Linked DNA regions of Arabidopsis thaliana. The protein of the gene in region 3 interacts with the protein of the main gene of each other region in a pairwise test. Each region holds a gene or a part of one and is shown on either strand. Other genes may lie near its edges.

What was found.
Region 1: the proteins of AT3G03210 (region 3) and AT2G01970 interact in a protein complementation assay, tested with the Arabidopsis thaliana proteins (one large-scale study listed by BioGRID).
Region 2: the proteins of AT3G03210 (region 3) and AT2G42360 interact in a protein complementation assay, tested with the Arabidopsis thaliana proteins (one large-scale study listed by BioGRID).
Region 4: the proteins of AT3G03210 (region 3) and AUX1 interact in a protein complementation assay, tested with the Arabidopsis thaliana proteins (one large-scale study listed by BioGRID).

What each region holds. Positions count from the first base shown.
Region 1 is NC_003071.7:449,385-458,241, forward strand, and holds AT2G01970 (Endomembrane protein 70 protein family), read right to left. Parts: upstream 5,576-8,857; 5' UTR 5,436-5,575; coding exon 5,284-5,435; intron 5,059-5,283; coding exon 5,018-5,058; intron 4,918-5,017; coding exon 4,332-4,917; intron 4,245-4,331; coding exon 4,107-4,244; intron 4,025-4,106; coding exon 3,868-4,024; intron 3,791-3,867; coding exon 3,306-3,790; intron 3,033-3,305; coding exon 2,813-3,032; 3' UTR 2,474-2,812; downstream 1-2,473. Other genes in the region: TET14 (tetraspanin14), read left to right, coding at 1,009-1,506, 2,134-2,418; SOS1 (sodium proton exchanger, putative (NHX7) (SOS1)), read left to right, coding at 7,686-7,911, 8,015-8,065, 8,144-8,235, 8,316-8,393, 8,489-8,646, 8,729-8,830.
Region 2 is NC_003071.7:17,636,891-17,643,502, forward strand, and holds AT2G42360 (RING/U-box superfamily protein), read left to right. Parts: upstream 1-3,907; 5' UTR 3,908-4,016; coding exon 4,017-4,727; 3' UTR 4,728-4,900; downstream 4,901-6,612. Other genes in the region: AT2G42340 (uncharacterized protein), read right to left, coding at 1-257, 678-732; AT2G42350 (RING/U-box superfamily protein), read left to right, coding at 2,355-3,008; AT2G42370 (uncharacterized protein), read left to right, coding at 6,444-6,612. UniProt on the Arabidopsis thaliana protein: E3 ubiquitin-protein ligase able to catalyze polyubiquitination with ubiquitin-conjugating enzyme E2 UBC8, UBC10, UBC11, UBC28, UBC29, UBC30, UBC35 and UBC36 in vitro.
Region 3 is NC_003074.8:738,147-745,170, reverse strand, and holds AT3G03210 (Pmr5/Cas1p GDSL/SGNH-like acyl-esterase family protein), read right to left. Parts: upstream 4,468-7,024; 5' UTR 4,185-4,467; coding exon 3,078-4,184; 3' UTR 2,862-3,077; downstream 1-2,861. Other genes in the region: AT3G03230 (alpha/beta-Hydrolases superfamily protein), read left to right, coding at 52-307, 400-693; EXPA13 (expansin A13), read left to right, coding at 1,196-1,683, 2,204-2,516; NAC045 (NAC domain containing protein 45), read left to right, coding at 6,644-6,800. UniProt on the Arabidopsis thaliana protein: Component of the plant cell wall polysaccharide acetylation pathway. Does not directly catalyze O-acetylation of xyloglucan but exhibits weak acetylesterase activity in vitro.
Region 4 is NC_003071.7:15,969,277-15,979,092, forward strand, and holds AUX1 (Transmembrane amino acid transporter family protein), read left to right. Parts: upstream 1-3,599; 5' UTR 3,600-3,988; intron 3,989-4,199; 5' UTR 4,200-4,216; coding exon 4,217-4,393; intron 4,394-4,486; coding exon 4,487-4,672; intron 4,673-4,760; coding exon 4,761-4,873; intron 4,874-4,969; coding exon 4,970-5,153; intron 5,154-5,431; coding exon 5,432-5,529; intron 5,530-6,050; coding exon 6,051-6,258; intron 6,259-6,344; coding exon 6,345-6,602; intron 6,603-6,690; coding exon of another isoform or gene 6,691-6,696; exon of another isoform or gene 6,697-7,282; coding exon 7,283-7,516; 3' UTR 7,517-7,904; downstream 7,905-9,816. Other genes in the region: ATMAK3 (Acyl-CoA N-acyltransferases (NAT) superfamily protein), read right to left, coding at 9,363-9,578. UniProt on the Arabidopsis thaliana protein: Carrier protein involved in proton-driven auxin influx.

The DNA.
Region 1 (8,857 bases), on a different chromosome or scaffold from region 3:
AAATTCTTGTCAAAACATTCAGCTTTTTAACTTTTTTACTGGAAACAGTAAACACACCCACACACTCTCTCTATTTACACACACACACACTCTATCTAATTACACACGTGGCATAGTTATTACTTTAGGTGTTGGCCCGTCAAAACGATATCTTAATTATTACCATCGATCCCAAAGATGTGAATTTTGAAAAACTATAAACAAGTTGGAGAAATGATGATTTCGATCATCCCTATAAACAAGCATGCTTGTCTTTTTGTTAAGTCTTCTATCTCTGACATGACGTCAGATTGTTGTTTAGTAGACTATAAGGCCTATTACAATTTGGCCCAACTAAACGAACAAAACCGGCCCATATATATCACTGCCGAAAATATCAAATTTTCTTTAGTTCCTAATGCCTTATTGTTTTGGGTAGTCCTGGACATTCGGTTATCCATTCGGTTATCAGTTTTTTCGGTTTTAAAATTTAGTATCCATTCTGTTAATTTGAAAGTTTGGTTTGGTTTCGGTTCAGTTTTAAAATTTAATATCCATTCGGTTATTTTATTTTGAATATTTTCGGATTTTTGGTTATTTTTGGATATTTTTGAATATTTTCGCTTAATTTCGAATAATTTAACCATTTTGTATATATTTTCAACTTTTTTTAATTATTTACTATAGAAATAACTAATATTTTGAAAATATATTTATATTTCGGATATTTTCGGTTACCCGAAATATTTCGGTTATTATCCATTCGGTTTCGGTTCTTTCGGTTATAAATTTAGTATCCATTCGGTTATTTTTCACTTTTCGGTTCGGTTCGGTTAATTTTGTTTCGGATTCGGTTAGGTACATTCGGTTCGGTTTGTTAGCCCATGCCTAGTTTTGAGGTGAATTTGCCACATGTCAACACTTGATTGCGTAAGTAACTCCTACAAAAGGATATTTTTGTGGGGATAAATACTCGTATAGGAGATTTGATCATACGAAAATCAAATCTGTCCTTGAAGCTCTCCAATAATGAAGTCACAAAGCCATAAGCCATGGAATCTAGTCGCCGGAATCTTCTTTCCGATCATCACTTTCTTCCTCTCGGCTCCTCTTGTCGGCCACGCCTTGTATCTCTTCTGCATGCGTAACGACCACGTTTACTACCGCGACTTCCAAAGTACGTTACCACGTGTACAAACACTCGTCAGCGTCTCTCTCCTCGCCTTGTTCCTCCTTAGCAACATCGGTATGTTTCTCCGACCACGACGGCTCAGCTACTTCCTAGTTATTGTCTTCTTCATAGGTTTTGCTTACTCCGGTGTGTACAAGATGGAAAGCCGGCGGTTTTCTCCGACACCAATGTGTTTCAAGGGAGAATATAATAATGGACAAGGAGAACGTAAAACAGAACAATATCAAGTGGTTAAGATAGAACAAAGTCAAGGACGCTTGCAAAGAGTTCACTTGCGGTTTGTCAACAGCTATGCCTTGCCACCGTATGATAGAAGATTGTTACCATCTGTTAAGGTACTTACGAATCAATTACTCTTTTTTTTTTAGAATAATTATTATTTATTACTTAGATATATATCAAATCTAATATAGGTATCAACTTGTTACAATTTTGGTTGGGATTTAGATTTTATTTAGATATGCCTATTTTTTTTTTTAGTATTTTAGTTTGATTTTTATATCGTTGTTATTGTAAACAATTTGTGGATTTGAATTTTAATAATTTTGGAGGATTCGAGAGGATTTCTTTAGTTAAAAATATAGAAATCCAAATCATATGGTTTAAGGTGAGATTTGAATGGATTTTACAAAAATTATATAGACTTCCCTAAAATTATCAAAATCATTTAAAAACTCAACAAAATTCAAATCACTTTAAATTCTAATTTGAATACACCCGTAGTAGTTTTTAAAAGTATTGTTGGTTTTTGTTCCAAAAAAATCTTTTTATTTATCCAATTAAGATTTTGAAAAATTAGTTTATTTAAAGTACATATATTAATTTGTTTTAAATATTTGAAGCCGTGATATGCAAGATTTAATACCACTAAATCCTAATAAGATATGACGAAAGAGAAAATCTTTTCTTGATATATTTTTAAAAAAGTCATAATCTTTTGTTCTTGTTGTTTGTTGTGTTAGACTGGATGCTGCAATCGGCCAGGGAATTGCAAACTAGAGACGGTCAATGCAACATTGTGGGTTACAAGAAATCGTGAAGGACCACCTTTGGAAACGGCAATGATCTATGATCGTTACGGTGGCAATGCAGACATAAAGGATTATTACGATATGTGGAGACACGAGTTAAGTGTGTTGTACTATGATTGTATGACTTGTCAGGTTAGGATCATTAAGTCTCCAAGGCTGCGCAAATGGTGGCAGTTCGGTGTTTTCTTATCTTCCCTCACCTCTTTGTTTAGATAGATCACAAATTCATAGATGATTTTGATCGAATAGATTAGCGATTTGGTTCAAGAGAGTTGTTATTTTTTCGTCTTTAGAATATATATAGATCAATAAAAAAAAGGTTACAAAGTTATCTTAATTAATTACCAAAAAAAGAAGATAACTCTCTAAAGTAGTAGAGAAGAGAAAGACTTCACCTAAACAAACATAGTTTCGTCTATAAATCATATCACAGAAAACAAACTGCCACAAAACATTTTAACAAAAAGGAAAAAAAATGTGACCACAGAGCGATTTGGTATTCAGTTTCTGGCTTCGAAGAAGTCTTCTTCTTTATCTACCTAAGAACAGATTATCATCTTCTTTGTTCTACCAAAAATCGTAAGGGGGAGGGTGATTGGCAGCAACAGTTTTACTCGCATTTAATCGACCGGTAAATGTGGCGGACGAAGAGGAGAGCAGCGCGGAAGCCAACGGTTCCAAGCATGAGGAAGAAACCGTAACAAATGCAAGCCATGTACCCGAAGAAGAAGGATGTTTGCATGAAACCAGACATGTCTGATCTTGCGTAGTAGTAGTATAAGCAGTACGCATATATAAACAGACCAGTCGATCCACCACATAGGAATGATCTGCAACAAAGAATATTAATAACTATAACAATGTAATTTTATTATCACCAATCCAATTCAAATTCGAATTTAAAATCTACGGAAGGATTTAGTAGATGTGCCTAATCAAGCCAAACTGAAACCCTACGTAAGTAATCAGTTTGAAACTGATACTAAAACGAAACACAAACCATAGCAATTCTAAGCTATTTGTATTTGGTATTATCATTTGGTTTTCTATATTCCATATACCAAAAACCGAATTAAAAAACCAGCTTGGGTGGAAAAATTTACCTCCACCACCATTCATGATCTTCAGCAGCGAGTTGGAAGTAAGTAAGGGCAACTGTTATAAAAGCAGTGACGATCAACAGGATGATGAAGACGATGAAGAGGATGCTGTAAATGGTATAGATACGATGGCCCCAAACACTGGCAAAGATGTAATATAGCTCGATGTAGATGGCACTGAAAGGAAGAAATCCAGCCATGGCCATCTGCGGTACAGCACTCCTGTACCATGGGAGTGGCGGGATCTCCCGAGGATACTTAGTGGTGCGGACTGGAGCTTGGAACTCAGCTTTGCTGTTTTTACCGGCAATACCACCCAACACAAGTAAAGGCGAAGTGACTAGTGTCCATATGAGGACGATCACTATGATGGTTCCAAAGGGAAGAGCGGCAGTTGCACTGTATGCGATTGCAACGGTGTTTAGGAAGCAGAAGGTGAGAAATAGTGGGCCACAGAAGAGACCTCCAGTTAGCAGCAAATTTCTCACCTGAAGAGGAAGAACGGTGAGAAATGAAAAGCTTATCACTTTAAGTTGAAAAGAGTAAAGGGAAAGGGTTTACATACCCAATTCTTTCCTTCGAGTTGACAGTAGAAAGAGGAGGCAGTGTATCCGGCAATTCCAGATGTGAGAGCATAGATAACGACCAAAGCAGTGAAGAGTGCTCCACGGTTGTATGGATAGAACACTCCAACAAGTGAAAGCATGAAAATGAAGATGGTCCTGATGACATATGAGGTATATTACAGTTAGTAATGGCAAAGAATAACTAAAGATAAACGAAGGAGGCTGAAAAGAGACTTACAGAGTGAACAACTGGGTACCGCTACCAAGAGATGCAGCAAAGAGAGATTTGTTCTTTGGGAACCGGAAGACATCTCCATGAATGTATTTCCATCCGGTTTCCTCTTGATCATCAGCAGCTTCCTCATCTTGAGCATACCTTTGAAAGTTAGGGGAAAAGTTAATGGTTGGAAACAAAAGTGTGCATCGGTGAGTCAAGCACAAAGAGTTAGCATTCAAAACTTACTTCATGAAATCATTCTTGAGGACCCGCATCAGGATGGTTGCAAGGAAACCAGTCAAAAGAAGGACAGTGACGCAGGAGTTAATAATGGAGAACCAGTGGATTTCCAAGTGATGTGGAAGAGAAGAAGACATAGCATACTTATCCATTCTTTTCTCAAAAGAAGTCTCAGTTTCCTTCCACTTCACAGTGTACATAAACTCAGCATCGACTTCCTTATCCTCAGTAAGATCCACAAGCGAATGAGGATCCATTCTAGCATTGATTTCAATCACCCGATCCTTATTGTACAAAATCTCAAACTGGATGTGTTTGTAGAGAAAATATTTAAACTCGCTAGGATCAGATTTGCTCTCTTTGTCCACCTTCCCAATGAATCCCCAAATAGGCAAATCATCATAATACATCTGAAAGTAATAATCTTTTTCAACAGCTCTTCGAAAGTGTTCAACTTCTTCTCTACTAAGCTTCTTTTTACAGTACACCTCTGAGTCTTTCTCATCTCTAAAGTTAAGCTTGTATGGAGCACTAACAAGCCTATCCCCATTCAAAACCTCACCAAGAGCTTCCTTCTTATCTTTCACACCCTCTACACAAACCAAAACAAATGCATATTGACACCAAAATACACAAATCCGAAAAAAGTGAAAAACCACACATAACAGAGACAACATTGAGCGTGCTCGTACCTGGAATACAAAAGGGGAGATCGAAATAGCGATACGTCTCACTGCAACAATCATCAAACACAAGTAAAAATCAGTCATATAACAATGCAATCGAAGATCTATCACATTTTAAGAACACGAATCGAATTTTTTCAAGGTCAGATACAAAAATTCAATACCAACGCAAGCTTCTACAGAAATTTGCAACGATCAATTTATCACTCATCAAAGAGAATCACAGATCTAAGCTACCGACAAAGGAACTGAGATTAGAGAATTGGATTTACCTGGGATTGTGAAAGGGGCCGACCTTGTTGGCGTAGAGAGGAACGGAGTCACCGTCCTTGTAACGGTGGTCGGAGGCATCGGATCTGACAGTACCGGCGCCGGAGAAGATGAGAGCTCCGATAAAGAGGAGCAGCGTCGTTGGTAATCTCATGATGATGTGTGTTAATGTGAGAGGAAGAAGAAAATCGTGAGATCTGAGTTTGCTTTATATTTTTGAGAGCAACGCTTATGGCAAAAGGACGATTATATTACTTTTATTTATTTTATCTCTCTTTTTAACGAATTTTCTTCTACTAAATGCTTAAGAAAAAATATTGCGAATAAAAAGCATTATGTAAGAAAATAAAATCTGCGACATTTTAATATTTTTTTTAGAAATTGAAATGATTATTTTTATATATTTTATTTTTGGTTGTTTTCTTAAATCTTCTAAACAAAATTCGTATTAATTCACAAAATTTTAAATTATTTAATACGTTTCGTAAGAAACTTGTGAATGGCAGAGGCAAGTGATATAAACTGAAGCAAATAAAACTTTCTATAATCGATATTTTTTGTTACAATTGTCGTTTTTTTTTTAATAAGTAGCAATTTTCTATTGGTAGAGTGATTCTCTCGTTCTTGTGCTTTCTACTATTTATAGGAGTTTTATTGCATTCCATGTGACTATAACAATCAGTAATGTTCTTTTTACTCTTTAACAAAATCATGATGATGAAGATACAAATAAAAAGGTGGTCAAAAGAAAAAAGATCAATAGTGCCTCGTTTTTTTTTTTCACAATAGTATCTCGTTTATGAAATTGATTAAAGCAAAGCAAGTAAAAAGTATTATCAATTGGAATATAAACCAAATTTTTTGTACATAAAATGAATGATGTAGTAATTTATATACCTGATTATCTTAACTAAACTCAATTTTTTGCAACCAAACCAGATAAATAAGAACACTATAAAATTAAGATGTTAATTACACAGACAATAATTTTATTTATTTATAAAGTTTATTTTTGTAACAGCTCTGATACTTATTGATTTTGCACCTTCTTTGATGGTGGTGGCGAATCATACACTCATCAGCGACCATGATATGTAATCCATCAACGAGTTCTCTCTGAATCTTCTCGCCTGGAACCAGTTTTCCAGAGCATAAACATAAGCCTTAGAACAAAACAAACATCTACTATCCCCTGAACTACTAATGATAGAGTAATCAATGTAAACTCTTTTCCTATTGTAGAATTTACCATTAGACAAATTATTATGCATGTTGTTAGCATCTCTACTCTTGAAAAATCTTCGTAAGCTGATTGGAAAATCAAAGAATAACAAACTAACTAACTAACAATCACTACTCTATAAGCAAATCTTGAATACCAATAGAGATTCTTTATGTTGGATTCTATCTTTGAGCATTTCATTAGGATCGACGGTTGGTCGATTAATCAATACTAACCCAAACAGTCTTTTAACATGCACACTTGATACCTTGTAGGTGCTTCTGGGTAGCATGAAAATGATAATTGGTGTTATTCTGATATGCGAAATTGAAAATGTTGTTGTGCATCAGCTAAGCATAATTGAAAGTTTAAAAAATATTATAAATTTAACGTGAAGAATTGAAAGGTATCAGATTAATGTTTTGGATCAGCCGAATAGAGTCAGGCTAATCCAAATTCTCAAATATTTTCGAAACCTTAAACACATCAAACTCCACGAAGTAAACACACTCACACACATATCAAAATCCACATTATAAATGTATTTTTGGTAGGCTAGTCGTCTAATTCTAAAATAGCCAATTTACATTTGCAATTGTTTATTCAAAAAAGTACAACAGTAAGAGGTCTTATCAATTAAATCATAAGAAAAATATGTCCCAAAATGTCAAAAAACCAACTACGAATATTTCTTTTCCTTTTAAGGCCAAACCAGGTTTTGGAATACTTATTACAAATAAACTCAATTTCAATAAATTCTTGTACACAAATTAAGCACTAATTTCATTGTGAAGATACCATAGTCACATTCACATCTATATGACATCAATCTATAAAATCCAAAACAAACTATATATTATATTTATATTATTTTTTTGTCATCATTATATTTCCATTAATTTATCTAATTCTGGTTCTAATATACTCTTGGTCAGAAAAAATATAAACATTGAAGAATTGGTCGGCTGAAAATTGTGAAAAATATATAGCAGAAAAATATGATAATGTTATCATAAACAAAATTAATAGTAAAATTTAATTTTAATTTAACACTACAGTACTATACACGTGTGTATGTATAGCTCTATAAGTATTTACTCTCTTTCAGCTATTTATTTTTTCAGTGAACGAGCATTCTTCTTCTTCCTCTGTGTTGTTGCTTCTTAGATATATTCAAATAAAATGACGACTGTAATCGACGCGACGATGGCGTATAGATTTCTGGAGGAAGCGACCGATTCGTCTTCTTCTTCTTCTTCTTCCAAACTAGAATCTAGCCCTGTCGACGCCGTTCTCTTCGTCGGAATGTCTCTGGTACTCGGTATTGCTTCTAGGCACTTGCTTCGTGGAACTAGGGTTCCTTACACTGTCGCTCTTCTCGTTATCGGAATTGCTCTTGGATCTCTCGGTTCGATTTCGTTCCATGGAATTTCTGATTTCTTCATCTGTTTTAATCCTTGAAGTCAACGTAATCATGCTTAATTGCTAATTCATGTTGTTTGGTGTTTCAGAATATGGAGCTAAACATAACCTTGGAAAGATCGGCCATGGAATTCGTATCTGTAAGTTTTTAGTTTCGAATTTTTCTTCTCTTCCATGGCTGGCTTTGTAAGAACTATAGAATCAATGTTATTGTGCAGGGAATGAGATCGATCCAGAACTTCTTTTAGCTGTTTTTCTTCCGGCTCTTCTTTTCGAGAGTTCGTTTTCAATGGAAGTTCACCAAATTAAGGTTTATTCCTCTGGCTCTAATTCCTAGTTAAGCTTAAAGGTTAAGAGAAATAGGTACTGAATACTTGCATGATTCTTTAGAGGTGTCTGGGACAAATGGTGTTACTTGCTGTCCCTGGAGTTCTTATTTCAACAGCTTGTCTTGGATCGCTTGTGAAGGTATGAATTAGCCTGGTTGGTATTAAGTAGCTGTCCTGAAAACAAAGAAAGACAAATCGATTATTATGTTATGAAACTATACTTGCTATATGCAGGTCACGTTTCCGTATGAATGGGACTGGAAAACGTCCTTGTTGCTTGGGGGACTTTTAAGTGCTACTGATCCGGTTGCTGTTGTTGCTTTGCTAAAGGAGCTTGGTGCTAGTAAGAAGCTAAGCACCATAATTGAAGGGGAATCCCTGATGAATGATGGGTAAATGACGTTATCTTCTGTCATGGTTTGGTTAGTTTTGACATTTATGCTCACTCTTCATGATTTTTAACAACAATTCCAGGACGGCGATTGTTGTTTTCCAGTTATTCTTAAAGATGGCTATGGGGCAAAACTCTGACTGGAGTTCTATAATCAAATTTCTGCTTAAAGTCGCACTTGGAGCGTATGTCTTGATCTTTTTTCATCTGTT
Region 2 (6,612 bases), on a different chromosome or scaffold from region 3:
CAGCTTAGAGGCTTGTTTCTTCATCTTCTTCCTCGTTGATTTACTACTTACATCTGCAGCACTCGGTGGTGGTGGTGGTGGTGGAACTTGTTGAGCTTCTTCTTCTGCCTTAATCAATGACTTCCAAATACTCGCAATCTGAGACTCGGTCAGATTCAGATTCTCTGTCAGCTTAGACACCACTTCTTCCAGACTTTTGAAATCACCCACATGATCCAGAATTTTCTCACTCCAATTCGCTTCGTCCGGATTGTAATCTATGAACAAAGAAACTCATGAATCATCACAAACAACGAGACCAGCAAATAAACCTCAACGCAGGATCCAGAATCCATAACAACGCAAAAAACGGAACAACGAGATTTTAGATTCCAAAATTCGCGGAAATCAAATTGATTTTCCTAATAAAAAAGATTATTAATCTTCATAACACTCAATCAATCACCAGAAATAATCAATTTCTCCTCCGGAACAATCAAATTGATCACCAGAAATTATCAATTTCTCCACCGGAAAAATCAATCGATCACCAGTAAAACCACGCCAAATCCATGAAAACGCAATGAAACAGAACGGATTTACAGAAATGACTAGCATAAACGAAACGCAGAAAAACTCTTAGATCCAAAACGCGAAACTCATAACTGATTCGTTGGTTGAGAATCTAGATCGATTACCTGGAATTTGATTCCGAGAAACTGAGAAACAGAGAACGAACGGCGTTTTCTCCATCTTCTGTAACTGAGAGACCTTGGGATGCGAAGAAAAAAACGATCGGAGAAGAGAATGAGCAACGGATTTCTTCAAGCTACTCTGCGTTTGCCGCTATCATCTGTTTTCGAATTCCCTCCCTCTCTACGCCACAAAATATATGGGCCTTGCTTTGGTGTCCCTTTTAGCCCATTTTAATTCACATCAACCCAATTAGCAACCCCACAATTAATTTCGGTTTTCTTTTTTTTTTATAGATTTATTTAATTCTATTATATTTCTTCTCAAACCATTTTAGTTCTACTATCCTTATTCTTGATTATTATAAAACCAACAACCAAACACACTTTTAACATTATATATACTTATCAAAACTAATATTTTCGATTCTCAAATATTTTTAGTTTATATTTATATGCATTGAAAATTTCAATTCGAAAGATATTACTTTCTAATCTACTAAAAATTAAAGTAATTATTTATATGACAGAATCTTTATAAAAATCTAACAAAAAAAATGAGTTTTGACATCCCAAAATAAATGATAACATATTATATTTTCTTATTAATCATTTTATTATAATTGGGATCCAACAAACATCAACATTTTATTCTTTGAATTACAATGTTTATTATAATTATCTTCAGAAAATGGTAAGAAACTTATAATATATATATATATATATATAAGTATATTTATTAAACTAAGTTGTTTATACATATATATACCTTATAAGATACTCAAAACCTATAAAAAAATTTACCCACAAAAAAAAAACATAAAAAGGATAATCAAACTACACCTGATTACGGGAAGGTTTTTGGTTTCATAGTTCTTTTTATGTACATAAAAAAAATGAGACCCAAATCCAGTGAGATATGAAAAGTACAAATATCTTAAATGAGAAAAAGTCATTATTTCATTGTTAATTATAATTTTAAAAAGATAAAATATAATATGTTTTGAAGATATATCATCAAAATACAATGACTTTTTTCCTACAAGTATATACAAGGAAACAAAAGAGCTAACGTGTGGAAAAAAAAAAACAATTAAAAAGAGAGTTGAATTTTTAATATATTCACACAACTTGTAATAGATTAGCATGTTTGTCTACTTCGAATACTCTTCTTCAAGTCAAACCATATGATTCTCACACGCAGCCTCGCTCCATACCTCACGTTATAACTTTAAAATTTCGTATTTTCTTGACTATGCTCCATTTACATTAAGTCCTGTCATATTATTGGGAGAAATTGTATCATCATATATCTAGAATTCTCATATACACTGTCGACATGTTATGTATTACGGTATAAAGAATATTGCAATCCTATATTATTATTTTTTGAATTTCCAAAGTTTAATTTAAAATTAAGAAAATGATAACAAATCCGAGTAAAGTCAACAATTTCCTTCGAAAATTTATGAGTATTCTGCTGCCTATTTTCTCACACCCACCAATCATATTGTATGTCCCTTGAATCCAAGTAATAGCTATGAAGAATAAACAAAAGTAGAAAAAATAATAAAAAACAATTTAATTACACAACATGAGATCCATTCAATCTATTAGTAACTTGTTATTAGATTATAGTAACCACTTTCTGTCTCTTGTTCTACCAAAACAAAACGCTTCATCATGAGCTCTAACAACAAAACTGATGATTCCGACGACCGTTCTTTCTGGCAAAACTCGACTTCTTACGATGCCAGCAGCAAGATTTTCCTCGTCACCACCGTTTCCTTCTCTATTATTATCATCATCGTGTTCGTTTATTATCTCTACGCAAAATTCGTTCTCCACCGTAGATCAGCCTTCCAAGACCTCTCCTTCTCTGTCGTTTCTCAGCCGCCAAAACGTGGCCTCGATTCTCTAGTCATCGCTTCTCTCCCAACGTTCGTGGTTGGAATCAAGAATGACGTGGCGGGTACGGAATGTGCGGTTTGTCTAAGCTTATTGGAGGAGAAAGATAATGCAAGGATGTTACCGAACTGCAAACACGTGTTCCACGTGTCTTGCGTTGACACGTGGCTCACCACGCAGTCCACTTGTCCCGTTTGTCGAACTGAAGCCGAGCCAAGTCATCCAAGGCTTGAGCCTGAGCCTAGGGAAGGGCCAGTTGGCGACTTTGCACCGCCGTTAGATTTCGCGGGGGTTGATAACAAAACCGGCGGATCATCGGTTTCGAGGTTAGACTCGTTCCGGAGGATTTTGACAAGGGAAAGATCTTCGAACAGGCGGGATCATTCTCGCGTTGACCAAGATCGTGAATTGGATATTGAAAGACAGTGAATTCAGTATATAGTATATACACACATACGCCGGTTAAAAAAAAAAAAGTATAAACACACATGCATCCATAATTAATCCTTAATTCATGAACCATAATACTTCTTCTTCCTTTTAACTTTTTATTCTTGTACTGAAATCTTTTGTATGTGTAAATATGAATGGCACACTTTTTGTATGTTACAGTAATTACAAAAACATTGTTGCTTATTGCTTAACGTGTGAAAAGGGGAAAAGAAAAAAAGAAAGTTGAACTTGTAACATACAATCGAGACAATTTTGTTATTAAGGTATATCTAATGCGTGTGTGCCCTACATAGACGACTCTTCTTCAAGTCAAACTTTGTGGTTCCCACACGTATCCTCACAGGCTCACACGTTTTAACCTTTAATTTTCGTATTTTCTTGACTATATATATTATCATTTTTTGTTGACAAAATAAATTGTATTATCATATTTTAAAATTTTGATAGCAGTATCATATGTAACTCTAACATTCTATGTTTAGAGATGAATTTATCTATATATATCTACTTGGATAAACCAATTTGCACCATACTATTTGCAGCATATGAGACTAACTAACTCTTGATACACTGAAATGATGGTAGACAATTCAGTCTATATATGCGAGTTAACTCCTAATACCGTGAAATCATAATAGGCAAATTCAGTCCACAAATTTTTTACGTAGGATTTTGATATTTTCCACTCTTTATATATACAGTCTATAATCTTCAAACCTATCACCTATAAATAATCTACAATCTACCATTTAGTCAACAATGGTGAAATTTCTAAACCCTCGTGAAAGTCTACCTATCTCCCAAAGTTTCTAATTCTATCTACTTCACATTTTTCTCCACCCACCAACTAAAGTATAAGCCTTGGAAAAACAATCAAAATAAGAAATTCTATAAGTCCTTTATTCCTTATATAATAAATCATAAGTTAGTAAACTCTTTTGTTCACTTTTCTTTTGCATCCACCGAAGAAAAACCAGCTTCACAATGAGCTCCAACGACAGAGATCATCGCAGGTTCAACTCTGACCACCACTCATTCTGGCCTAATCCGTCTACTTACGATCTTAACAGCAAGATCATGCTTGCCGCAGTGGCTTCTTTATCTGGAGTTATCCTCATCGTCTTCGCTCTTCATCTTTACGCAAGATTCGTTCTCCGACGCCGTAGAGAAGCTTTCCGTGGCCTCCCCGTCATTTTCCGCCACCCTTTTGAGATGCCTAAGCGTGGCCTCAATCCCACAGTCATCGCTTCTCTCCCTACTTTCACTGTTGGAGCCACTGATGGCGTGGCTGCCTCCGCTACTGAATGCGCAGTGTGTCTAAGCGTGTTAAAGGAGCAAGACAAGGCGAGAGAGTTGCCCAACTGCAAGCACATCTTCCACGTCGACTGTGTTGACACGTGGCTCACCACTTGCTCCACTTGTCCTGTTTGTCGGACTGAAGTTGAGCCAAGACCGAGACTTGAGCCTGAGCCAAGGGAAGGACCAGTCGGTACTGCACCGCAGTTGTTGGTGGAAACCAGGCTGAACTTGACTGTAGAAGCCGCATCCTCTTCTTCCTCAGATAACAAAACAGTTGTATCCCCGGCTTCGCGATTAAATTCGTTTAGGAAAATCTTGACGAGGGAAAGATCTTCGAACAGGATCAACCATTCTTGTCCTGACCAAGATCGTGTGGCAGATCTTGAGAGACATTGAGTCGACATATAGATACATATTATGCATATAAATCATATACACATATCGATAATCTTTAATTTATACAATATCCTCCTTTCTTTTTTACTATATCATGCTCTGTTTTTGGTTTTAGATAGTTTTGTGTAACGGAACACTAAATATATGTTAGTCAAAAGATACATCTGGTGCAGTTCATGCCATTCAAGTTAACTATTCACAGTGGTAGACAGTACATATCAGGGCTCCATAAAAGATGCAGAACCATTTTAGTTACATAAAACTGAGGGAGAAGAGAGATCATAAAAGGGTTACCTTCAATCACCAATCGGAAGCTAAACCTGTTGGATAATCAGTGTCATTGTCACAATGTGGCCTAAAATGACGAAGGGTGACAACCAGCTGCTAAACATCCGCCTTGCTCGGCTCAATCTGAGAATTCTGGTGCAGTTGCTCCCTGCATTGAAGTGGCATCTGCGATACTTCCATTGCTCACTCCCTTACTGCACACCAGATTTCAACAGCATGAGTGTAACTATTACTATACTCAATGAAACGAAGCCTCATGGAGAATGAGAACATTTTCAAAAAAATTGCTTTAATAGTTTTTGAAACTTCTTCTATGTTCTGCAGTAACTGCATCATATTGATAATATGAACAATATAATCACCAAGATCAAAATCAATTGTCGAGGAGAAGTGAAGTAACTTCATCCTTCTAAGCCAGAAGCTAATGAAAAAAACAAAAAAAAGATTTCATTTCACTCAAAAGTTCAAAACCCATCAAACTAGAAATCATTTTCTAAAAGAACCTATGATGGATCAAAATTGCTCCAAACAGACTATAAATGAGACACACACACAAACGCTAATTGGCAATACAAATGTGGATTACTTAATTACCTTGAAGGAAACTTGCATGTTCCTTGACCTGAAAACGAAAAATTGCAGAAAAAGCATCAAACTTTCAACATTTTCAATTAGCAAAAGTCATAACTATCTGCTAGACATTGATCCTGAAAGAAAATGTGAACTTACTAGGATTGAGAGAAGTAACAGCTGCGTTGTTACTAAAGTTGCAAGCTTCATCTGCGAGACCATTCCATCAGATAATAGTTATTGAATACATACGAAGCCATCTTCACTATATCCAATGGATCGTAGCAGGATCCACCTTGCTGAATCTAGACGCAATCAGCTCCTCTGGGACCACAAGCCCAGTCAATGGCCGTTTAAAGTGTTGAATCCTCAACGTTGTTCTTCGCCACGCACCAAAGCTCCGTCTCTAATACCTCCCCACCAAACTCCGCAGTAGCAGCAACCGTAATGAGGAGAAATAGAGAGATTCATTAGGAAGCAGTGAGGCTGAGAGAGAGAATACACGATCATTTTCCGAGAGATTGATCGATTTTGTACTCGGAGATTTCGAAGAGGAGGAAGAGTGTGAATTTGAAAGAGTCGAATAGATGTTGGAGTTTGTTGTGATTAATGTAAAGATTTGGGTGAATAATGTAAAATATTTTAATTCTTACCGGTTATTGAACTCGGTTATACTGATTTGGGCCGTATTAAACTCCGGCCCATATACATATGGGCCTCTAATGAAGTGTTTTTAGCTGCTCTGTTTTTGATGACGGAGCATATTAATTATGGTTAATTAGTAAACAAAAAGACTCTTTAGCTCCTTAACCTTTTCAATTTCTGAAAGAGGAGGAGATCGGAAAACAAAACCCAGTCATGGATCCTCCGGCGAATCCTTTTGCATCTCGAGAGCAAGATACAGTAACTATTTTAAGAAACCTGATTAAGCAAGCTACTTTGGAGGAAGAAGTCTCTGAAGCTTCAGAGACACATTCTGTTCCGAACAAAATCAGAATTTTAGAGTCAGTGTCGGACGAAATGAGGA
Region 3 (7,024 bases):
ATGTAGTGGTTTGTATATTAGCCTTAATTGTTTTTCTTATAACATCGATAGGCTCAGTGGAGCTTCGTTGGTTGTTCCGTTAGTGAATTTTTGGTGGAGCCGTGTGCCTCAAAACTTATTGAATGCAGCGATGAAGAAATTGCCAATTGGATTTCAATTGACACTTCGAGTCGCACACTACTCTCCATGGTTGTTATATTGGTGGATGACTCAGAAATGGTTCCCGAATAGTCGAAATCCCAAAGATACTATGACCGAGCGCGACCTAGAACTCGCGGAAAAGCATACCAAACACTCTTATATCAAGGTATATATATTACGAACTTTATGATCCACTCTCTTTTTTTTTTTTTTTTGAAAGAAGTAAACATTCATGCATGAATGCTATTATTACTATAGGAGTCTGCTTTACGACAAGGTGGATATGTGACCACACAACAAGACATCATAGCGGGTTACGGGAATTGGGAATTTGATCCAACCGAATTGAAGAATCCGTTTTCGGATAGTAACAAAGGGTCGGTTCATATGTGGTGTGCACTCGAAGACAAACAAATTTCACGCGATGTTTTACTCTATATATGCGATAAACTGCCATGGATAAAGCTCCATGAGGTCCCTGATGGTGGACATTATATTATCCATGAGAAGCGGCATTTTGAAGCCATTATCAAAGCCGCTTGTAGTGACTAGTGGAAGATACATTATAACAAAAAAAAACTCTAAAAGATTTGTATCTAAAATCAGTTTAAGAAAAATTATGGCTATGTAAGTTTCATGTGACAAAGAACATTATCTAACCTATTTACAATAATTTATATAAATCTGGTATGTCAGATAGTACAGTTTACAAAAAAAAAATCAAATGTCAAATTGATCCAAATGAAAAATATCATGACATACTTTTTTGAGCATGGGAGAGAGTCGGATGGAGACACATGAACGAAAGGTAAAGTTGACCCAAAATTGTTACTGAAGTCCTCACTTTGATCACGAGATTTGGGTTTTGTGATTTGGGCCTTACCCTAACCCATTTCGATTGAGGGCATTTTAGTCATTTTATATAAACCGACAAACCGGTAAAAGCAAAATGTTTTCCCACTAAAAGACTGAAAAAAACACTAAACCAAAATTAAATCATCAAAAATCAAAATCTCTAAAATCAAAAATTCGCATTTTCTCTCTCGCCGGAGAGATGCAACGGTTTCTTCTACCTTTACTCTTCCTTGCACTATCGCCGCCGGCGATTTGTCATTACTCTTCCTCAACCTCTTCACCTTCTTCGTCCTCCGTTTCTTCCGACGCCTCAGAATGGCGTCCAGCTCGAGCCACCTACTACGCCGCTACGAATCCTCGAGACGCGGTGGGCGGTGCGTGTGGATACGGAGATCTCGTCAAATCTGGGTACGGTATGGCTACTGTTGGTCTAAGCGAGACTCTGTTTGAGCGTGGTCAGATCTGTGGTGCTTGTTTCGAGCTCAGATGTGTTGATGATCTCCGTTGGTGTATCCCTGGAACTTCAATTATACTCACCGCTACGAATTTCTGTGCTCCTAATTACGGATTTGATCCCGACGGTGGTGGTCATTGTAATCCACCTAACAAACATTTCGTGCTTCCGATCGAAGCGTTTGAGAAGATCGCTATTTGGAAAGCTGGGAACATGCCGGTGCAGTATCGAAGGTGCGTTTCTCTCCGCTTTTTCCCAATTTGTTTCGCGTTTTGTTAAAAAAATGCGTTTGCGGTGGTGGGGAACGCGGTTCTGCTTTTAGACGCCACTATCGATTTAAAAAATCCGGCGATGCTTTTGCTTTTGTGTCTTCTTCGATATCCGTGTGCTTTATTATGTGAGATGGGTTTACCCTAAATCTCTTCCTCAATATGCAATTTACTTTATTGCCCCTAATCGTTTTATCTTAGTGTGTACAAGATTCTGAGAAATGGTAGATAGGTTTGCTCATCATAGTTGAGTAGCTTTGCTCTCATTTTCATCTTAGCCATGAGAGGACTGAAATTGACTGTTTCTGTGAAGTTCTAGGCACAATGCGGTAAACTACTATTTAGGTTCATGATACAATGGATCATTAGATCCTTTATTAGTTTGTGAAGTGTTTTGGAGCTGAGCCTATAAATAGTTAGTTGCATATCACTTAAGTTATGAGTTATGACTTACAACCATTTTTGTTGGCTTTTACCAAAACAGGATCAACTGTAGAAAGGAAGGGAGCATGCGGTTTACAGTCGATGGTGGAGGCATTTTCATTTCGGTTTTGATCACCAATGTTGCAGGGTCCGGTGATATAGCTGCTGTGAAGATCAAAGGGTCGAGAACCGGGTGGTTACCTATGGGTCGTAATTGGGGACAAAATTGGCATATTAATGCTGATCTCAGGAACCAAGCTCTCTCATTTGAAGTAACTTCTAGTGACAGGTCAACCGTGACATCTTACAATGTCTCCCCGAAAAACTGGAATTATGGACAGACCTTCGAAGGGAAACAATTCGAGACTCCGTGAGACAGAGACGGACACATTGAGATACAATCCCATGATTCTTTTTTTCCGGGTCAGAATTTTTTGATGGCAAGTATATCGATCTTGGTCTAAGGTTATCTTTAGGGTTGAAAAGGAAAGAACTTGGGTCAGACTTTTGCATTTCATAGTTCTCTCTCTCCCACGCATAGGTACAAAAACTCACCAATGTACTAAGAACAGTGATCACACAAACATCACTATTGTATCTATTTGTTTACATTACTAAGGAGCGAAAGCTTCCTTCAAGTGCTTAAAGCTAATGATGAGTACTGAGTCTTATCGTAAAAAGAATCCAAAAGGGTACTGTGATATAACAAGAATCAGAATAGCTAAAGGTTATAACTTCTCAAAGTCAAAAGATATTAAACCTATTATAGCCATGAATGTAAGTTCACTTACTTCTCCAATGTGAAGATCACTCAGGCCAAAAGGATCACCGTGTGTTGTAAAATTCCTATGAACATCCCACTTCTCTTAAAACTCTACAAGAGAACCCCAAACAAAATAAAAGGAAAAAAAACAAAAAAAAAACGTGTCAAGAACTCATAAAGATTGATGAGATTCAATAAGCAACGCATTGAGCATGACATGGACAGCGGCATCATAGACCGCAGAGTCATAATGCATCCCGTCAAGTGTACATTGCGGTCCACAGTTCCAGGTAAACGACTGGATATCAAGCAAGATAAGAGGACCACCCATTTGACGTAAGATCTTACTCTCCCCGAGTGATCTATCATACTCATGCCACACCGTATCACTCATCTTCTCCTTCTTCTCATCCGTATTCAACATCCCGTTGATCAAAACCGGCATCCCAATCCAGAACAGATGCACAGATCTACCGGAGACCGACCCACCTCCTTCTTGCTCCTTTGGCGTAAGGGGCACTAGAGACTCCACATGACTACTCAATTGCCTCAACCTAAAACCAAAATCTGAAGCATTGTTCACATGAAGCATATGCCATAACCCAGTTCCCATGATCACAACATCAGGATACTTTTTCATCTTCTTATAAGATACCACAAGATCATCCAAATCTTTCTCATAAGGAGCCCAAACAAAATCAAGCTTCATCCCAATCTCCTTAACCACAATGCTGTAATCACTATGTCTCCTAAACAAATCCCCTCTAACCGAATCCATAGCCTTGGAATCCGAACCCAAAACAAGATTCAACAAAGACAAAGCCACGAATCTCGCCTGAGAATCACCAGCAACAACAACCCACGATCCATTCAACAAATCCGAAACATCGAACTTATCCAATTTCTGAAACTCACAACTCAAAACTTTCCTCGATTTCATCCAATCCCAGTTCTTCACGAAATAATCAAGCTTTGTTGAGCCATTGTTCCTACGAACAGACTCCGGATTCGGTACCGGTTTAACATCCCAGACAATCTGATTAACCTCGTTGATACAAGAGATACGATGATCGTAGACAACAACAGAGGAAACAGAGGCAACGATGTCGGAAACGGAAGGGAAATAAGGCGTGAGATGAACACAAACCGCGAGAGAAATAAACAAAGCGCCACTAAAGAAGAGCATCTTGTTCCTGCTCAGATGCCAACCAGCCATTGCCATGGGAACGAAGAGGACGAAACAAGCTGCTAATACTCCCAAATGAATCGCTCCTAGCATCTCTCAGACTCAGATTTCGGAATCAGACACATCTAGATTTCCATCTAGACAAAACCAATTTCATCCAGATTCGAATTAACTCTTTTTCTCTATAATTTAAGAAGAAGCTAGGGTTACGGATTTGGTTCGGTGAAGAGAATCTATCAAAATTGAAGGTGAAGATGAAAATTTGGTGAGATTGAAAGGAACAGAACAACCGTAGGCTTCTTCTTCTTTGGTTCGATTTTTTGTATTTAAAATTTTCCATATTTGTAAGATCTCCATTAATTTATGATCTCATCTCTCTGACTCTCAGACATGGTTCGGCTCACTTTAGCCTCATTATGGAACTGGGAACTATTCTAACGTGCGCTCACCGCTGGGAATCACGTGACCGCTTTTAGATTAATCATAAGTTCCTCGGCCCACGGTCAAGCCCATTTATTCACGTGACCGCTTGTAGATTGATCATAAGTTACTCGGCCCACGGGAAAGCCCATTTAGCCCACATCGTTCAACAAATCAATGACACTTTCCTTATGTGTATTTTCATACGTACGATTTCATCTTGGAATGACATTAAATTCTGTAGATCCGCGTTTTCATCATATAATAAATGGAGAAAAAATCATTATAATCATTTAGACTTCTTTTTTTATAGCTAAAGTTACATGTAATTTCGTGATTTTTCTTCACGGTCTTAAGTCTTGGGGATCTTGTAGACTCCGAAATTTCATAATAGTTTCAACCGATTTTTACATATTAACTTTTAATTTATTACTTTCTCATTCTAACCAAATTTATATATTTTTGCCAATGAGGCAATGACCCAATCTAATGGTGGGGCTAATCATAGGACTAATATGTTATTAGTTTATAGAATGTGTGTGAACGTTAAAAAGAATTAAGTAAAGAACCAAAAGATGGATTCATGTGAGGGAAATGTCTCAAGAAGGGTATGTACTATGTACACATTGTAGATATATTAAAGATATATATATATGTGTATATATATGGTGATACAAAGAAGAAAGAGAATATGGAATTTGGAATAATGAGAGAAAAAGGTTATGACGATGATGAGAAAGGCTGAGAAGTGATTCTCTTGGGTTGGCCCATCAATAGCTTCCAAGGATTTATTCACATGTTCACAACTGCTGGATCCCACATGATCATACATATAACCATCTCAAAACCATATGCTTGTTCAAATTTTATATATATATATATATATATATATATATATCTGATCGATTTCATTTTTCCAAATTTTAGATAAGTTTTTTTTTGATAAATCAACTTTAGATAAGTTTTATAGTCGCCTACACCAAATGTGACTGTATGTTCATATGATTATATATAGCTTTCGAGTTTCGACCAAAATGATAAATACTCAAACTATAATTTCTTATATCCATAAGTCTTTGGAGTACGTAATTGGACTTTCGGTCAATAGTTTTTCTATATTGGAACAAAAGTTTTGGTATTTTATATGACGACACTAAATATGGAGAGGAAAGGATTTCTGGCCACTCAATTTTTTAATTTTTGTTTCAAAATCTCCGAAATTTCAATTTTTTTTCCCGAATCACACAACCTTACATTAACAGCCTAATACACTAGAAAATATATGAGCATTAACTGATGGAACGACCATAAAATGGAGTTCATCTTTCTATTCGATATACGATATACAATATGAATATGAGAAACAGAAATAGACATATATAAATGACAAAATAAAATGTAAAACACTACTAGTATAAATTTACAACATCAAGATATCTATTTTTAAAAAAGATCTATGTACGTAGATCGGATGGCAATGTGAAGGGAAACAAAGGATTCGCATGCAAGTGGGTACAAAAGAGACAGTTATTTCAGTTAGAAGTGCCGCCAAATAACAAAAAAAAAAAAGAAAAAAAAGAAAGAGAGATTGCAACAGTTTTGGGTTAACCCAAGATTCGATCTCCCATGCAACCAATAGAAATCTGACAAGTGCACATATATTCCAGACCGACCACTCTCGGAGAAGCATGGGATAATATAATTGATGAAGAAACACGGTTTACATTTAGGGCGGCAATTTTTGATTAATTATTCCGGTTAAGTACCAGAATCTACACGTGATCATGTTATTTGTTAGCATTTTAATTATCTATCAATATAAAAAAAACACTTCGAACAATATTATATATGCGTCGGACAGAAATTGATGAATTGTAAATATTAATTAAATTTTGAATTTTTTTAACATTATATGTTATTTTGGGATGGGGACCTTCCCTTTATTCACTTTTGCATCTCCCTTTTTCATTACCTCTTTATATATAACCTTGCTCTCCAAGCCCTCAACGAACACAAAACATATACCTATTCTATAATCTCTTCTTCTTCCTCTCGAGTCTCGATTCTCTCTCTTTCTTTCTTTGAAATTGATTCAAACAAAATAACTTCAAGAACAACTTGAGATTATATATATGGCTCCTGTCTCGTTACCTCCAGGTTTCCGATTCCATCCAACAGACGAGGAACTAATTACTTACTATCTAAAAAGAAAGATCAACGGTCTAGAAATCGAACTTGAAGTTATCGCTGAAGTTGATCTTTACAAGTGTGAGCCATGGGACTTACCAGGTAATATTAATTTGACGTTTCCCTTGTTTATGCATGAGATCCACTTAATCAAATATGATTTAAATTTTTTGAAAAATATGATTTCTGATCAACATTAATTACGCGATTCTACTTTAGTTATCAAATTCTGCATATATTATTCATTTATATGGATTTAAATTACAACATCTGTAATCGTTAAGAATTATTATTATTTGTCTAAAACCCATAGGAACAAGAGAGAT
Region 4 (9,816 bases), on a different chromosome or scaffold from region 3:
ATTGAAGAATAAGTCATGTTAATGATCATCATAAATGGAGTAGATAGTCTGATAGGTTAATTATTAACGATAAGTCGAATCACAATCATATAGAAAGAATGTATAATATGGTTTATTTTTTGTAGATTATCACAAGGGTGTTTACAAACTTATAACAATAAATCAATAATTCATAACAATTGAGATATAAAAGAAATAATAACAAAATTGTTAAAACATCGTCAAAAAGAGGGTACTTAGAAAAGGAAAAAATAAAAATGTGAATAAAACATGGAAAGGAACAGAGGAAAACTATTATTTGACCCAAAACATATAAAATAAAAATGTAGGAAAAAGGAAATGGACCTACAAGCCGATAGGAGGCTCTCAATGGCAAAAAACGTTCGATAAAAAGGAGAAAAAGGCATCTTTGTAAATGATGAAACGGCGGCGTGTGGGGGCGCAGGTGTTCATAGTGCGCATGTTTCTTTTGCAAAGCTTTAAAGCTTGTGACTTCGTGGCTCGGCTCGGACTTGCTTAGCAACTTTTAAGTCTTTGGGTTCATAGATTCTCGAGTGTTTCCGCTCCCAGCCTACGCCGACACAAGAGCTCTTGGTCTTGGGTTCAGACTTTTTCATTTTTCTATATGTTTTAATTTCGTATTCTTTTTGTTGTTAAAGTTTTATTCTCAAACCAAGAAAACAAGAAATAAAACACACCTGATTATTGATCTAAAAATTATGAATGATGGAGTGTGAAAATCTATAATAATTTTGAGAATTATGGAAAGAAATTTCTGAGAGTGATGAAGCAATATAATTTTTGACTTTTATGCATGCGTGAGAAACATAGATATAATGTAATTAAAAGAATAAATGACAAGAATTGGGATAAAATTTCTCCATCAACATAAATTACAAATTCAATTTTTTATTATAATTTAACTTTAAGTTCATAGTTGGCTTAATTAAAAACACACACAGGTGTTTCAAACATTATATAACCGTTTATCTTTGACCAAAAAATTAATAACCGATTATAACAATTGCCATCTCCTTTAAAAACCGAGTATTAGTTATTAAGTATTAGTATTGATTATTTTTCTAGGTCTAGTAGAAATGCAATTTGGTTTCCAAGTGATGATCAAACTACCGTCAAATCATTTCGAAGTGTTTTTTTTATATCAGAAACTAAGTCGATTTCTGAAAAACGTTGTGATGTATAGCATACGCCTAACTTTTATGCTGAATGTAGATAGCTAGAAACCTAATTGTTTAAAGATGGAGAAAAAAAAACTATAGTGTCCTCCATAAAAAACAGGTCATCTCCGAAGAGTTATTTTCAAAATCGACATTAATGATCAGTTACATATTTTTTAATCATTATTTGAAACAATTATTTTATAATTTTAGCTAAGTATGTGATTAAAACAAATGAAAAAAAAAAACTCTAAAATGGAGGGATGAACATATTTGGGGAAGTGATAGACAATGATATTTCATATTTAACCATTCGTTATTGAATTTAGGAGTTGATAATTGAATGCCTATGAAAAATATGTTCCTATTGTTAGAGGTGGGTTGGAGTCTTGAAGACAGAAGACGCTCTAATATACAACTGAAGTTTGAGTTGCTTGTAAATTCAAGTTTTGTATAATTTATTTTCATTAACTGCAAACTAAAATTTATATAATATTGCGTGAAACAGAAGCAAAAGCAAGCAACTCGTTGGGTAAAATCTGCAGTTTCTGCACCAAATTAAAGAAGACCTGCAACATTGCCGCCTTTACATAAATACACACACTAGATACATAGGCTCTATGTATCTTATAGTATACGATATTTGTTTAGAATATTCTGCAAGTTGATTAAATTTCATGGATCAGTAGACTTGTTTATATTCTAAAGTTTCAAGAAATAGTCAATTTGTCTACGTATAATTAAACCGTTTCTTAGCTGGAAGTTTACGATAACGTATCCAACATTTAAGTATTGTCGAGCCATATAATTAGAGAAAATGACTAGTGAGAACACTGAGAGGTTTAGCAGCTGAGCAAGCAAGTTACTTACAAAACTTGGAAACAAAGGTTGTCACACTAATATTCACACTACGTGAGAATTCGTACAGTGCACATCAATATAATATTTTTAAAACAGCAAAGTGAAAAATGAACATGATACTATATATATCCAATTTATTAACAAAATTTTATAACTTATAGTATCAAAAATAGTAAGACTCATATTAGACCAATATATATTAATGCCTACCTACCTTTGACCTTAGGAGAAAGTATGAATAATTAACATGTATCCAGGAATGGCATTGTAGAAAATACTATTTTACATTACTATTTCATCTAAGGATTGAGATTTCATATGAATTCAATGATTTATATTTACTGCCAATATTTTTTTATCTTACTAATTTAAACGAAAGAGATATTTTAACTTGAAATAATTAGAAAATAGGTTATAGATCATTCAAACATAAAATTATTAAACTGTTCAACTATTTCTAAATGATTTATGTTAGCCGTCAGATAATTAACATGGAAAATTCTAGTTTCATCATGATAATACTCCAACTATATGTGTTAATATGCGTATAAGAGAGAGTATGGCGTAGTATCCAATCATTTCTTAGTATCATGTAGTATTTGGTATATGCCGTATAGTAGTACCCAATTATTTCTTTGATGGGCAAATGCTAATGACTAATGAGTATTTTGCAAACTCATGATCACTGAAAACATGAGCCTTCGGTCGACGATCAGGTGTCTTAAATTTGTCTGCTCTTTAATTTTTGTAGGATAAAAAATTGAAAAATTTGAACTTTAGACCATAGAATAGATTATTCCAGCTAGTAATCTAGAATAAGAATGATGTGAAAAACTTGTATTTAGTGGTTGATCATATAACCAAACCAAAGGATGATTACGTTTTCCTTAAACTCTAAAAACATGCAGATTATTGATCTGTCCATCCTAGTTTTAGGTACGGTATTAAATTTAGATAGCTGTTGAAAAAAAACAAAAGTGAAGATATCTAAATCTAGATATGTTGGAGCAAATCCAGTAGTGGATTCTAAGCAAAGTTTCTAACCTATAATAATAATAATAAAATAATAAATAATATTATTTAATTAAGATAGTTTATAAGGAAATGTGAGAGAGTTTCTAATTCAAGAGATTTTGAAGACTCTTCTAACTATTTTTAGAAACTTTTCAAATTAAATAATATTATTTCTTATTTTATTATTATTTTAGTAGATTAGAAACTATGGTTAGAAACCACCATTGAGTATGCTCTTAATTTATATCCTATAACAAGTCAATAAATCGTCAAACATTAATACGTTGCATTATTTGTTTGTCATCATATCTTAAATATTTCGAATTAAATGATACGTTTTCGTCACACAACTAATGCTTTTTAGTAGATGAAATATAGTAAAATACGATTTTATGTATTTTGAACCCATGTGGCGTTATGTTTTAATTTATTATTGGATAGTAGAAGAAGCCGGAAATTCTGGATGTCAAATAGTCACATTAATATTCAATGCGAAAACGTAAAAAAAAGTAAGATGCTACCGTTACCTAAACAAAAGTTAATGGTGTGATTTTACAGCACCTGTTTAATATTTTTAAAATTACATAAAAAAACCAAAGAGAAGTAAGAAAAAATGAAAAAGAGAGATTGGTATATAAAAAGGAGGAGTAGGGGGTGAAGCCCGAAGCATCTTATAGTATTTTTAGCTTCATTCCTTCTTTTGCTCTGATCAAAGTCTTCTCCTTCCCTTCTCTCTCTCTTTCCTCCTCTGCACATTTCTGGGTTCTTCTCTTCTTATGCTCTGTTTCTTTTAAGACACAGAAGAAACAGTACAGAGTTGAGATTTTCTTAAACAAAAGTGAAAAGAGAAGAAACAAGTGACAGCTCAAACGGACAAAAACCACTCTTGGGTCTTTCTTGCTTCTGATTCTTTCTCTTCTCTAATAGAAGAAAACGTAAGTCACTCTCTCTACTCTCTTTTTTCACACTGAAGAAGAGAAAAAACGTGAACAAAGAACTGTCAATTCTCTTTCCCTCTCTGTTTTATCTTCTTGAATTCTCCAAGATTGAGATCTCTCTCAGTCTCTTATGTGCTCTGTTTTCTCCTCTCTGTTTTCACTTAGTTACTAAACACAATCGATTCTTTCGCTCTGTTTTATTTCTCAGATCTAGAAGCTAAAAAAATGTCGGAAGGAGTAGAAGCGATAGTAGCAAATGACAACGGAACAGATCAGGTAAACGGAAACCGTACCGGGAAAGATAACGAAGAACACGACGGCTCCACCGGTTCTAACCTAAGCAATTTCCTATGGCACGGTGGCTCTGTCTGGGACGCTTGGTTCAGCTGCGCATCTAACCAAGTAAACCAATAAAACCATAAACTAAAGATTCAAAATTTCGGATTTCTCATAGTGAAGAAAGATCTGATTTGTAGTAATTATCGTTGGTTTCAGGTGGCTCAAGTGTTATTGACATTACCGTACTCGTTTAGTCAACTAGGAATGTTATCAGGAATAGTACTTCAGATCTTCTATGGTTTACTAGGAAGCTGGACTGCTTATCTCATCTCTGTTCTCTACGTCGAATACAGAGCTCGTAAAGAAAAAGAAGGCAAAAGCTTCAAAAACCACGTCATTCAGGTCCCCTCTTTAAACCCTCTCTCTCTAATCAGAATCACTAAATCATAATTATCTTTCACTAATCTAACACTTTTAAAAATCTCAACAGTGGTTTGAAGTACTTGATGGATTACTTGGTTCATACTGGAAAGCACTAGGACTCGCATTTAATTGCACTTTCCTCTTGTTTGGATCTGTTATCCAACTCATTGCTTGTGCCAGGTCTGTTATCTTTTAATCATTCTCTTTATCTTTTTAATCACTCTTTAATGATTAAGAATGGAGGATAATTGAAATATGATTGGTGTTTACTTGCAGTAACATTTATTACATAAACGATCATCTGGACAAGAGAACATGGACTTACATATTTGGCGCGTGTTGTGCAACCACTGTCTTTATACCGTCGTTTCACAATTACCGAATTTGGTCATTCCTTGGCCTTGGAATGACCACTTACACCGCTTGGTACTTAGCCATTGCCTCCATCATCCACGGCCAGGTAATGTTTTAATATATTTCACCAAAAATATATTTCATCACATTATAAAGATCACTACACTGTCGTTTTCATATTTATATGCTTTGCATTGAGGTGACAGTATATGCCTTAATTAAAAAGAAGAATAAAAAAAATTCGTATTTTCTCTTTAAGATCAGGGATTATTCTTTGCATCTTAACCCAAATTTGTATTAAAAAGTGTATGTATAATATAACTTAGACAAAATTAGCTGTTTAATATTCTCCTAATCAAATTTTTTTTTTGTTGTTTATTTTAGGCGGAAGGTGTGAAACATTCAGGTCCAACAAAGCTAGTGCTTTATTTTACGGGAGCCACAAATATTTTGTACACCTTTGGAGGTCACGCGGTTACTGTGTAAGTTACTCTTCTTTTGATTTCTTAATGATTATTAATTTTGTATCTAATAAAAGATCAATAAATTTTGTCAGACATAGTTGAATTACTATTTAAGTTAAAGCTAAATGGCAGAAAAAGTATATGGTAAATTAAAATGGTGCCATATTATTAAATTATGGGTGCTGCTGTATCGTTTCTTCGCCGCTTCTATTGCAGCTTTTGCCGGCAAATAAGGTGTAACTATTATTACAGTCATCATGATTGTCATTATTATTTTTAGCAATCCTTAAAATAGTAGTACTAATAAAATAAGCTCTTTTTAAATATAAAATAGAATAACCATTATTATTCCTATCCCTATAAAGAATAACAAACACTATTGCTACCAAAGCACTACTACTACTAGTAGGAATAGTACGCTTTTGCGAAATGTCAAATACACCCTTTTTATGCGTCAATGATTGTTGTGAATCCAATCTTTTACATAGTTAAAGTTTTGGATGAAATTATGAATATTAACAGTAATTTCTAATTTGCAGTGAGATTATGCATGCTATGTGGAAACCACAGAAGTTTAAGTACATTTACTTGATGGCGACGTTATACGTGTTCACGCTAACGATTCCGTCAGCTGCCGCCGTTTACTGGGCTTTCGGAGACGCACTTCTCGACCACTCCAACGCTTTCTCTCTTATGCCCAAGAACGCGTGGCGTGACGCCGCTGTTATCCTCATGCTCATTCATCAGGTATACACATACAACATTTTTGTTCTTTCTTTTTTAAGTAAATTTTGATCATGAGAGATTAATGCAACGTGTTCTTGTTCGTGCAGTTTATAACGTTCGGGTTCGCTTGTACACCTTTGTACTTTGTGTGGGAGAAAGTGATTGGGATGCATGACACAAAGAGCATTTGCTTAAGGGCTTTGGCTAGATTGCCTGTGGTCATACCTATTTGGTTCTTAGCTATTATCTTCCCCTTTTTCGGTCCAATCAATTCCGCTGTCGGTGCTCTTCTTGTTAGCTTCACCGTCTATATCATCCCATCTCTCGCTCACATGCTCACTTACCGATCTGCCTCCGCTCGTCAGGTATAACATCTTTACTAGCTCACTCTCTTTTAGCGTTTCAAAACTCGAACTTAACCTAAAATACATTGAGTTACCAATAATTTTTTAGAAATGAAATGAAGAGTCGGTGGAGGAATATTATAGTTGGGGGGTAGGGTTGTGAAATTGGAGGGCAAAAACGTCTTTTGTGGAAGATAGATGGGGTTCAGTGTTCCGTATCTTACGGAAGATAGGATCATCACCCACATTCCTTACTGGCGTCCCCTCCAAATAATATATTATTGAGTTGGTTTCAGCCATTTCTTTATTTGGTTACATTTAGAAGAAAAAATACAATATCCGGTTAGGTTAGTATTAGTAATTGACCATGACTTCTTTTTCTTTCTCTCTTTCAAAACAGTGTATATTAAATTTACGTAAGATAAAAGTAGAGGAAAATAGGGGAGAGGAATAGGTAAGAGTCATAATCAGAAATGAAAAGGAGCTGTACAATAGGGACTCTATGCCTAACATTAATCTAAAGTGAGAGTCTGAGTATGACAAATCACAATCATATCTCTCTCTCTCTCTCTCTATCTCATGGGTCAACAAAGCTTTGGATTTTGTCCATTACTATACGACCAAAACTCTAAAACACTTACACACTCTCTATTTCTTTAATGGTTCTCTGATTATTTTTGTGTTTTGGATCTTTCTTGTAGAATGCGGCGGAGAAGCCACCGTTCTTTATGCCGAGCTGGACGGCGATGTACGTGTTGAATGCTTTCGTGGTGGTTTGGGTTCTTATAGTCGGATTTGGGTTCGGTGGATGGGCTAGTGTAACCAACTTTGTTCGTCAAGTCGACACTTTTGGTCTCTTTGCCAAGTGTTACCAATGTAAACCAGCTGCAGCCGCCGCACATGCCCCGGTCTCCGCTTTACACCACCGTCTTTGAGAGATCGAGTCAGGGTTCTTCTAATGCGTTTGTGGAGGGTTCTTAAAATTATTTGTTCTTCTTTTGTGTTTTGTGTTCGTATACGTGAAGGGAGTAAAAGTCACGAAAATAGTGTACTTTTTACACACCCCTTTAAATGCGTGCTAAGCTCTTAATTATTTTTTTCTCTTTTGGGGTTTTGTATTTTTGTTTTCACTCCTTAGTTTTTTTTTTAAAATTGAATAGTCGATAATATGTAGTGTGTGATTTCTTAATTTGGTATTGTTAAAACAATAGGCTAAGAAAATGTATCGTCTTCTCTCCTTTTACTTGTCTTTAGTAACAAAAAACAATTCTTATCTTATACATTTATCCTAATTAGACTTATATAAACTATTTTACCATGAACAATATCTTCCGATACTAGATAATTCTTTAGGATCCTATTAGATCTTTTAATTATACAGTTTTGATCATAGCACAGCGACAATACTACTAAGTTTACATTAAAATTTTGAAATAACACTTTAATTTATTTGGAAAATTTGATTTAACGGCAGGGTGTGTTTAAAAATTAAATAGGGGAACATGGACAAGTTGGACCGACGGAGCCGGTCATATATCCTATGGGCCACATGGGTGTGGGGAGAGGACGCACGTGGATACTTCGTCCGAGTCACGTGCCATTATTTACTTGACACTCTTCATCTTCTCTCTGATCAAAAGAATGGATCAGAGGACCGTTCCTGTCCCTCATATTAAATATGGCATGTGTTCGTTCCATTCGTACTCAATCGTTTACCCCTTATCATATGCTCTGCTTTCACATGTACTTTGCCCCCAAAGATTATAACTATATATGTAAAATTATTAACTAATATTCTCGTTTGAATCCAGAGTCCGATTCTTGTACTTTCCATCTGACTTTTTTTTTGTTGGGGGTCAAAATAAAAAAGAACTTTGCAAAAATGTTTCTTCTAATAGCATAAAATCGTTAAAGAGAAAAGAAGAAGTGAATGTGAGTCATATTATGCGATATGGAGTAGGACCCTTGGTAACGTTTGGTTAGTGACCCTTGGTAACGAGTGGGTTCAAATTGTCAATAAACTATTATGTGGCGAGTGGTGAATCGTCTTTAATTTGTTCTGATTTAGGCCATGTGAGTTTTGCAACTACATTTGAGGCTTTTCTTCTTCTTTATATTAGACTTTTTTTTTTTTGTAAAGTGGACTATCTGGATACAAAAAAAATCTCGGCTAACATGGATAAATCTAAGATGGTTGTGTTTGTGAAAAGAAAATTGTTTTATAGTAAAATACGGTATGCAATAAAAGTATTTCATAAAATATCTCATACCAATTATTCAAGCATGTCTTTTCATAACATTTGACTGGCATCTTTCTCTCCTTTGGCCTTAAATCAATTTTTTGTCATCTTGGATTTCTTTTGAGGTATATAGAGCTGTTTGAAAATTTTGATGGCTGAAAATCACTTCACATCTCGATTTCTATATCATCCACTTAACTCGAAGTCAGGAGTAGCCTGAGACGATTAGGTTAAGTTAAGTGGTTATATGAATTTGTAACAACATTTAGATCTTTGTTTCCAATCATCAACCAAGTTTGAGAGACCTTAAAAACGTATATACGCACACCACAAAGTGATATGAATATGCTAAATTGTTTCTGTAGACACACAAGACCGTTGAAACGTCCAGATTAATCGCTTACTCCAGTCGAGAATACTTCATAAACATGGGACTAGAATTGTACCAACACATAATATTTCTTCATACGAAAGAGAACATAGTCTTAGCATGTTCAGGATTTAGAATACATTGAAGAAACACACATCTTCGTTCATGGCCTTAAGGTACACGAGGCCTAGGAAAGGTCTCATACTCTTGTTGGGTTTGAACTTGAGAAGGTATTTGAGGTACACGAGGCTTAGGGAACAAGAGCTTCAGGCGAAAAGCATCCATCCCATTCAAGTAATAGTGGTATAGCCGTTTGGCTCTTATAAACCCGAGTCGCCCATATAGTGCTAATGCTCCTTTGTTACTCACTTCTGCCTCCAGAGTTACCTTCAGCCATACATCTTTACATTAATTAGATTGCATAACCAGACAACCATACTCTCATGTTGTAATCAGGCTTGATTATGAGGAACTTGAAGAGCAAATGCCAATCACGAGGTTCTTTTTCCAATCTATTTACTACTGAGATTACAGTTAAGAGATCACACATACAACAGAAAATGATTCGTCGAATACGCAATTAGTAAGTGGGAGACAGGGATTTCTTATTTTATATTACTATCAG